Coturnix japonica: one gene and its partner. The protein of the gene in region 2 interacts with the protein of the main gene of each other region in a biochemical or structural test. Links are inferred from orthologs where the notes say so. Each region holds a gene or a part of one and is shown on either strand. Other genes may lie near its edges.

Region 1 (4,151 bases), on a different chromosome or scaffold from region 2:
TGCTTCTGGTTATCCTATTTTTATAGCTTTGTGACTCACATATTACTTTCTTCGTCTCGCTCCCAAATCGTTAATCAGAAGTCAAAGGGAATTTGTATCCAGGAAAGAGCATTTCTGTTGACTCATAACAGCAAATGCTGCTGAAAGATGGCAAAGATGAAAAGTTGGGCAGCTCCTTCTTTGGGGTGGGAGCTTCATGGGAAGAACTGGTACTGCCTGGGCTTCCTGGGACTCCAGTTGAGCAAATGCACTCTCTGACAAAGCTGTGGAAGTTATTGCATTCTTACAACTGTTCCATTTGTACTGCTTTATTATTGTATTTTATTATCAATCTTAATGACTCTGCTTTTCACCTGCACTTCCAGGGAGATGGATGTTACATATCACCCCCAGTATAAGATGTCTTTCCCTCTGTAGCCAATTTTCAGCTAATTTAATTTACCTCTTTTTCTATTGCCTTACAAGGCTGAGTGATACAATTCTTTTGAACAAGGAAAACAGTTGCACAGCATGAATAAACACTGCTTAGCTTCCCAAGGAGGTAATAGTGTGCAATAGCAGCTCTAACCTATCTTTTTCTCTCTTATTTTCCTCCTGTCTGGTGTCTATTTTTATTCAACAATTTTATTGGAGAAGCAAAATGAGAAAAGAACATTGCTATTCTTGGAAACCTTCCATCGTGATGCAAGAGCAGAAGAAGGCCTGGATGAGAGACACGCAGAGCCTTCCTCAGAAGACTCCTTTACAGCAACTTACAGCAAGTGCCAACCATATCAGCAGTGTTGGGAGTGTGATACTGGAGTGTCATTTACTTCACACTGGGACCTACCCTGGATCAAGAGGAAATGAATAGGCACAGCTTCTAATAAACATTATATAAAAGAAATCTTTGTCACAGCTGATTTTCAACAGGAATTCCATAATAACCCAATGGAAGCATCTCACCCAATGGGAAACGTTTCCTACCATGCATCAGTAAGGGTAAGGCAAGGTGAATGAGACCTCTTTGATCCATGGTTGTAAGCTCATGTGCCACTCCTATGGGATCCAATGCTGCAGTGTTTTTGGCTCCTGCTCAGCAGGAGGACCCTGCCCCATCTCCTTCAGCTCGGGCTGAGACGTTGGGGACAAACACAACAGCAAAGCACAACACAGGAGAGTGATTCATCGGAGGAAATTCAAAAACCTGTGATTCATACCCTGAGTGCCAATGATGTTTTGCACTAACCTCAGTTTACTGAGGTTGCATTTCCATTTCAAGTGATTTACAAAGCATCCGCATGTGCACTTGGGTGCAGTTCAACCTCTTTGAAGGCAGGAGCCCAACCTCCCCATGTTTGCTGCCTGAGACCCTTAATTAGGGCACAGCTAGGAAGCATTCACAGTAATTAACTATCCATTGTGGTGAATATTATCTGAGCTCTCTCAGGTGTTGAAAAGCTCAGGACAGGGCTCTGGTAGCAAACTGTATGGATGTAAACATGAATGATGGTTTGATAAGAAACAGGCACTGCTCCCACTGAAGATAAAAACAGAAACTCCCAAAGGCATCTGATCTCTTCACACCTCTGGATTTCAGTGTCACTGGGCTACAGGTCTCTGAAGAACTGGCCTTTAATGTCTGCCAGGAGGGTTTTCAGTTCTCACAGACTTCAAACAAAGGTGAATTTCCATTGACCACATGGATGTGTTTTCAGTTCTCAGCAGTTTGGTTCCTTTCAGCGAAGAGGAGATAACTAAATATTAATAAGGGGATGGGATATTTTGTTCTTTTCTGCTAAAGACGCTTGCTTGAAAACTCTACCAAGAAGTCATTAGAACTGCTGGTTTTGTGGTTCACTTGTTTTCAGCCTCTCTGTCCTTTTAAGCAAAGCTCTTTGCTGCAGAGGATGCAGCAGGTGCATCATATTAAGAACCAATGCTATTTGGCCTTTCAACCAGGGCTTGTAAGAATGGATGCAGCACTGGTGAGAAGGTATGAAAGCAGTGATCTCAGCTCTGGAAAAGAAGAATAATCAGGCAGGTAGTGTGGTAACTCTATAGAGAGATGTTAGATGTAAAGGGTAACAGAGCATTGTACTGAAGTTATGTGCATCACCACCAGCTTGACAGGGAGGTGAGGTGGTTATTTACTGCCTAAGACAGAACTGCAGAGGTAGAAGTACTTGTTAATGCTGCATTCTTGTCCTGCTTGAAAATCACCATCTGTCTTAGCAGCACACCTGCCTCAGCTGAGCAGCATTTCCCTTCTGCATTTCAAGGTATTCCACTCTCCTCAAAGTTGGGACTAATCTGTTCATCCTGCTGTAACTTGGGGCAGTCTTCGGTGTTTCCTGCCTTAGTAACCTCTATTGTATAATGCTGATGCAAAACAAGTGAACTGTTACTTTCAAATGCCATGTTAGCAGTCTGATTGAATTTGTTTTAGGGACTAAAGCCAGATTTATTCTGGATTGCACCTCTTAGCACAGGAGCTAATTTTTTTTCCATGTTTTACCCCCCAATCTTCCATTGATCTATTTGTCTTTTGTGGCTATCACTGTAACATCTGCTTTTTCACTTACGTGTAGGTTTAGCATGAGTGTCCTGCCCTTGTAGAAGAGCTGACCACGCACATCTCTGTGCAGCCATGAAAACCTGCAAGCTCACAGTGCTCTCCTCATGGCACTGAAGATGATGTGACATTCTTAAAACTACAACACCATTATCCTCTTGTAAGTCATTTTCCTTGCTGAGTTAAACACCTGCTCGGCTATAAGCAAGAGATGCTTAAGATCTTTTCAAGCATAGTAGATGCTGCCAGTCATGGCAGTTGAGAAGAACTGGATTAAATAAAAAAGTCCTACCTCTGGTTTGAGACTCTTATATGCCAAGGTCAGAGGAACCTGGATAATTACACTCAATAAATAACTTTCCCTGCTTTTTCTGTTCTGATGTCTTTCACAAGGCATCTCTAGTTGAGCTCTATTGAAGGGAAGCTGCTAGGTTAGATGGACTGTTGGTTAAGATCCTATTTGGCCATTTTAGGGGTTCCTGAAAGGCAGGTTCTGCCTGACCAACCCAATCTACCAGGTAACAGTAATAGAAAAACAGGGAATGGCCTTAGTTCCATCAGTGGATGTTCAGGTTGGATATTAGGGTAAACTTCTTAGAAAGAATGGTAAGACAGGGATGGTGGTGGAGTCACTGTTCCTGGGGGTATTCAAGAAACATGGAGGCGTGTTCATGTGAAACATGAAATGTATGTTTTAGAGGGGATATGTTGATAGTAGGACTTGATGATCTTAAAGGTCTTTCCCAACCTTTATCAATCTATGATCTCTCTGAACACAGAGCACTGGAGATCACAGCACTGGGATGCTACGGAGGAGAACAAAAGGTTGCTCTGTGCAACAGGAAGGCAGCGCTCCAGGCAATGTACTGCACCGAACTAGAGCTGCACTGAGTATAAAATGAAACAAAATTTGCATAGCTCTCTTTTTTCACGGAAAGCCAGCAGCAGGGAGGGGGCACTGATCTTAGTAACCATTCACCTTCTGACATCAGAAACCTCCGATGCAACACACAAGGCTGCTGTCGCGAAATCCCTGATCACGAACATGAAGCTCCTTCCCCTCCTCACAGCTGCGACCTGCTTCACGCCCCCAGCTCCCTCGTTCTTTGTACCACAAGTGATGAAGTTTTTTTTCCAGATCACATGAGCCAGGATGAAGGGGAAAATCCTGCCAGGAACAGAGATGGGCTGCAACCTGAACCTGATCAAGGGGAGATACAGACCAAGTACCCTGAGAGCTATATAAGGTGCTTGGCACAAGAGCAAACACTTTTTCAGATGAAAGACTCCCATGAATCAGCCATGCATGTGAATGAAGACACCGTTTCAAGGAGGCTTGGAGCCACTAACAAAACTTTTCTGTATTTCATCATTGCTACCCTTGTTGCGTTGCTCGTATTTGCGTTAGCCACCATCATGGTCTTAGTTATCCGGAGGACGGTAAGCAATTCTCACTTCACTTGTTGCCTTTTTCTTCTTATTTATTGATTTATTATTATTTTTTTAAATATAACCTTCTACTCTAATCTAAAAACTATCCCATGGCTGGAAGGTCAGTCTCTGCCCCCTGTTATGAACACACACAGGAATTGGGGAG
Region 2 (4,238 bases):
CCTTTGCTTCCAACACACCTCCAGGACAGATGCCACACTGTCAGATTGCCCCTCTGCTTCCCTCTGTCACACAGCAACAAAACGTAATGGGATATTGATGGGAAGGTTCAACCTCTATTGCCACCCCACCAACATCTGTATCCGATGCCATGGGCCAACATCATAAAATAGGAGGCATTACTTCCAGAGCAGCCCTCACAGAAAGTAGAAGAAGGTTACTCAATCCAAATAAGAAGATAGACCTAAGTTTTCCTTTTGAAACACTATGTGTACAAATGCTATTCCTCGCTGATAGGTAATTTTTATTGTTGGAATTGAAAAGTGTTCTATGGATGCATCTAGGAAGGAAAACAAGAAAACTGGAAAAGTGCCCAAGCTTTCAATCATATGCATTTAAACTCAAAATCAAAAGTGAAAATGCTTGGTAAAGATCAGCCATGTCATTAAAACAAAGGAGTGGGAGTTGGGTAGCAATTCCTTTCTCAGTACTCTGGCTCTCTTCATCTAAAAGCTGAGAGCTATGAAGTTTATCTGCCAACAGAAACAAAGTGAGTCTTCCTTTGCTGAAACAAAGGAGAGAAATTTGGGAAATGTTAAATAGCTTTTATGAAAGAAACAAGGAGGAGGGTTTTCAGCATCACCCTGTTGTTGCTGTTGTTGTTTTTCTCAAGAGCATTTAAAACATGCCTGAAGACTGAAATTCAGTGATCTTATTTTCCTCTTCCTGGCAGCATGTTTTTGTTCTGCAGAAACCAACCCAACTCTCCATCAGAAGTGGAAAGTTGAGTCCTTACATTGGTCCACCATTACCCAGGAAACCCGTGAATTCAAGGGTTTTAACAGAGAAAAGAAGAAAACACATCTGTGTCTTCAGATGTGATGCACTGAGAACAACTTCTTGACTACGAAAACCCAAGTTCCAAAAAGATGAAAGCCCCCAAAAAATTAAAGTTTGGAAATCACTCAAAAAATAAGTTCTACCACAAGCAAATGATTCACCTGAGGGTTCTCAAGATGTCATTCCTTGACATGCTAATAACTAAACAGAATGAATAATCAGCACCACACTCATTCAAGGCTGAGTATTGATTCTTGAAATGTACTGTCAGCAAGAAACACCTGATCTGGAGACATCACCCAATCTATCTTATAGCAATCCTAGAGGAGGCAAGCAAACACTGATGGCAGTTAAACACTATTACTAAGAAACAGGCTTGTCTATTAGAACAAATAACAGACGCATTCTTTACTGTCATATTTAAATAAGCAAAGCTCTGTTTCCCAACACATGAATCAGGGTTATCAACAGACAGAAAGGCGAAGTCAACCACCAGCTTTACCATTGAAGCACCAGGCAGTTATCACTCAAACCAAAAGAGAACTAATGAAAATGGGTACAGGCACTGGAGCTTGCCATCAACTGGAATACCTCTGCTACCTCTCTATACATTTGAGCACTTTCTTCCCACCCCCAGCTGATTGATATCAAACATCTCTCAGTCTCTAATGCAATGGAAATGCAAACAAGACCAGGCCCTATCAGCTACACATCCTTCCTCACCTTTCTTGTAGAGAACTCCTTTCTCCTTGGGGATTCTTGTATAATTCAGGCATTCCAGGTTGCTCCTTTTCTTGCTCATCAATATGCATGAAGACAAACCTCCCTAAATCACAGTTAGAGGACACATAACAGCACAGCTGCCTCTAGGAATGGAAAACAAGCTGCCATGGGGTGCCTGCAGGATTATTTTTATAACTTTGTGGGTAAGAATATAACCCTGAAGGTATTGTTACACCATTGGGAATCCTATTCTTTACCATACCATTTTGATCTGCACAATTCTTCCCTCACATCACTGCTTATATTCCATGCTTTCACAATCCAGCCCTCCTCTCCGCATTCCCTCTTTTATAGTCTCTACTACTTGCCACACGTCTTACCACTCTGGCTTCCTACCATATATATTCCCACAGTCTCACTTCTGCTTATCTGGTCCTGGTCAACCTCACATTCCTCTCACCCACAGTCCCAACACCCCAAATGCAGCAATCCCTCCCTCATCTTCCCCCTTGAAGTGCAGGCTGCAGCACTGGGTTCATCACAGCTCCAGCTCTGCAGACTCCAGTCCAAGTGCAGAAGCTGTTTTAACACTGAATAAATACAAACTTTCAACCTGTAAATAGATGTTTTCCCTTATAATTACTCTCAGGTGCCTTCTCAGCAACTCTCCTCCTTGAAAAGGCATAGCATCATGATCTGCAATAATATTTACTGCAGCACAAAACCTTAATACACTGTAATTCACTAATCCACACCCAGATTACTCATAGCACACCATTCAAAAATTGCATCTTGTAGTTATTTATAATCACTTTAGGCAAGATAAAACTTCCTTTGCCGGACTTTTGGATTGAGATTCAGTCTCATATTCAAAGCAAAATAAATAAATAAATAACCTGGTTCTCAGAAAGCCTGACCTCACTTTCTAGGTATGACCTGTCATTCCCTGCATTACTGTTGTTGAAAGTAAGCTAACTAGGATTTGTAACTTTGATATCTTGAATGCAATCAGCAGCCGCACTGCTTTGCACAGACCCTCAGCAGAGCAATTGTGAGAAAACATACGAAGGGAAAACACTCATTTAGCTCAGCTGTGGGTTAAACAAAATTGGAGCAAGCCTCGTTTTCTTGTATGGTTCTATTTTTAAAAGTGATTATTATGAGAAACTTGACCATGAACCACCTTCTTACTAGAACATGAGGCCACCATATACACACCCACAGTCAGGTGTCTCAGTCAAAAAACCACAACAAACAAAAAACAACTGTTTACTCTCTGTCACACTATCAGATCTCAATTCTGGACCACATACCAACAACATTAGCCAAGCTCCATTTACAAACCCTTTGCTGATTTCAATTGCAAATGGAAAGAAAAAAACAAGTTGTCCACACAAAAAATGTGTTTGAATATTATCAATGATAAACTGATGCAGCAACTGCTTGGAATAGCAATAAAATGTACATTGCTTAAGCTCTTCTGGAAAACTTGAGTAACGTTGGTTAGATCCCTTGTGCAAAAAGGATCATGATATAAAGTTACTTTGCACAAATCTGGAGACAATACGTAAAGCCATGAGGTCATTTTCTAAGTTAATAAGCAAACCACATTTTCTGTTCCTGAAGATTTCAGCCAAGGAAGTGAACTGAAGTTCCCAGTATTTAAAGATGGAAACCAGCAGAAGTTCTCCCGACTGTGAAATTGAAATTTTCAGTTTTATTAGCAATAAGGGCACATGGGACAGCTCAGATGATTCTATCAATTTATCTCAATAGATATTCTTTGAGACCGAGTACTTCTGGGAAGCTCCATCTGAAAGAGCACGCATGAACATAGTAAAAACCATTACGAAGAGAGAGATAGCTTGGGATTGTGCTTTAAGGGAAAGAATGCGACCAATTCCTTTCACTTTATCCTAAATATTCAACCCAAAACATAACTAGTCAGTCGTGCCATTTGCTTTCCATTCCAGTCACATAGTAAGACTTCATACATTTGCAACACTGCTCCCTTGCTTAAAAAAGTCTATCCATACATTTGTTTTATAAAGTATTGGGTACCTTAATTAACACCGAATGACAAGAAGCTGAAAATACTGGTGCAAACCCAAAGCTTTCTGTGAAGCCAGCGCCTACCAATAAACTTGATTTAAAGCTTACGAACGCAATTACTAGTCCAGATTTCACAATAACTTCCAGAATTCTTATGAAAGGAATTTATCTTTCAGAATTACTGGAGACAAAACATGACATCTGTTTTTATCATTTTTAGACAGGGAAAGATCGTACCATGAAGTTCCAACAAATCATACCATACGGAACATGTTGCTTTTGTTCTTAAGCTGTTTCTCCACAAAGCTTTTTTGCTAACCTCCAAAAATAACTTGGAAAAATAGAGGAAAGAGTAACTTGCAAATATCTTAAGGCATTTTCTAGGCTTTTGAGTCATAAAAAGTGCTTTTCCAGGTTTATGATTACTCTGTAATGTGCCCTGTAGCTACAGGCACTGAAGATAAACTAGACTTTTTAACTACATTGTTGAGTACCTCAAGTTTAAGGCATTAGCAATTTGTGTTTGTTATGCTTAACGTGTTTGAAAATAAGCATATTTGTATGCTTCCCACTGAACAAGGCCATTCACAAGCTAATTCCTTGCCCTGGCGTTCTCAGATAACAC

The links. The genes of interacting proteins can lie anywhere in the genome.
Region 1: the proteins of TNFRSF8 (region 2) and TNFSF8 form a complex in vitro, tested with the Homo sapiens proteins (2 studies listed by BioGRID and IntAct). The link is inferred for Coturnix japonica from reciprocal best matches to the Homo sapiens genes TNFRSF8 and TNFSF8.

Annotation. Positions count from the first base shown.
Region 1 is NC_029532.1:1,654,312-1,658,462, reverse strand, and holds the start of TNFSF8 (tumor necrosis factor ligand superfamily member 8), read left to right. Parts: upstream 1-1,295; 5' UTR 1,296-1,662; intron 1,663-2,570; 5' UTR 2,571-2,714; intron 2,715-3,333; 5' UTR 3,334-3,417; exon of another isoform or gene 3,418-3,692; 5' UTR 3,693-3,697; coding exon 3,698-3,994; intron 3,995-4,151.
Region 2 is NC_029536.1:4,769,137-4,773,374, forward strand, and holds the start of TNFRSF8 (tumor necrosis factor receptor superfamily member 8), read right to left. Parts: upstream 2,836-4,238; 5' UTR 1-2,835. UniProt on the Homo sapiens protein: Receptor for TNFSF8/CD30L. May play a role in the regulation of cellular growth and transformation of activated lymphoblasts. Regulates gene expression through activation of NF-kappa-B.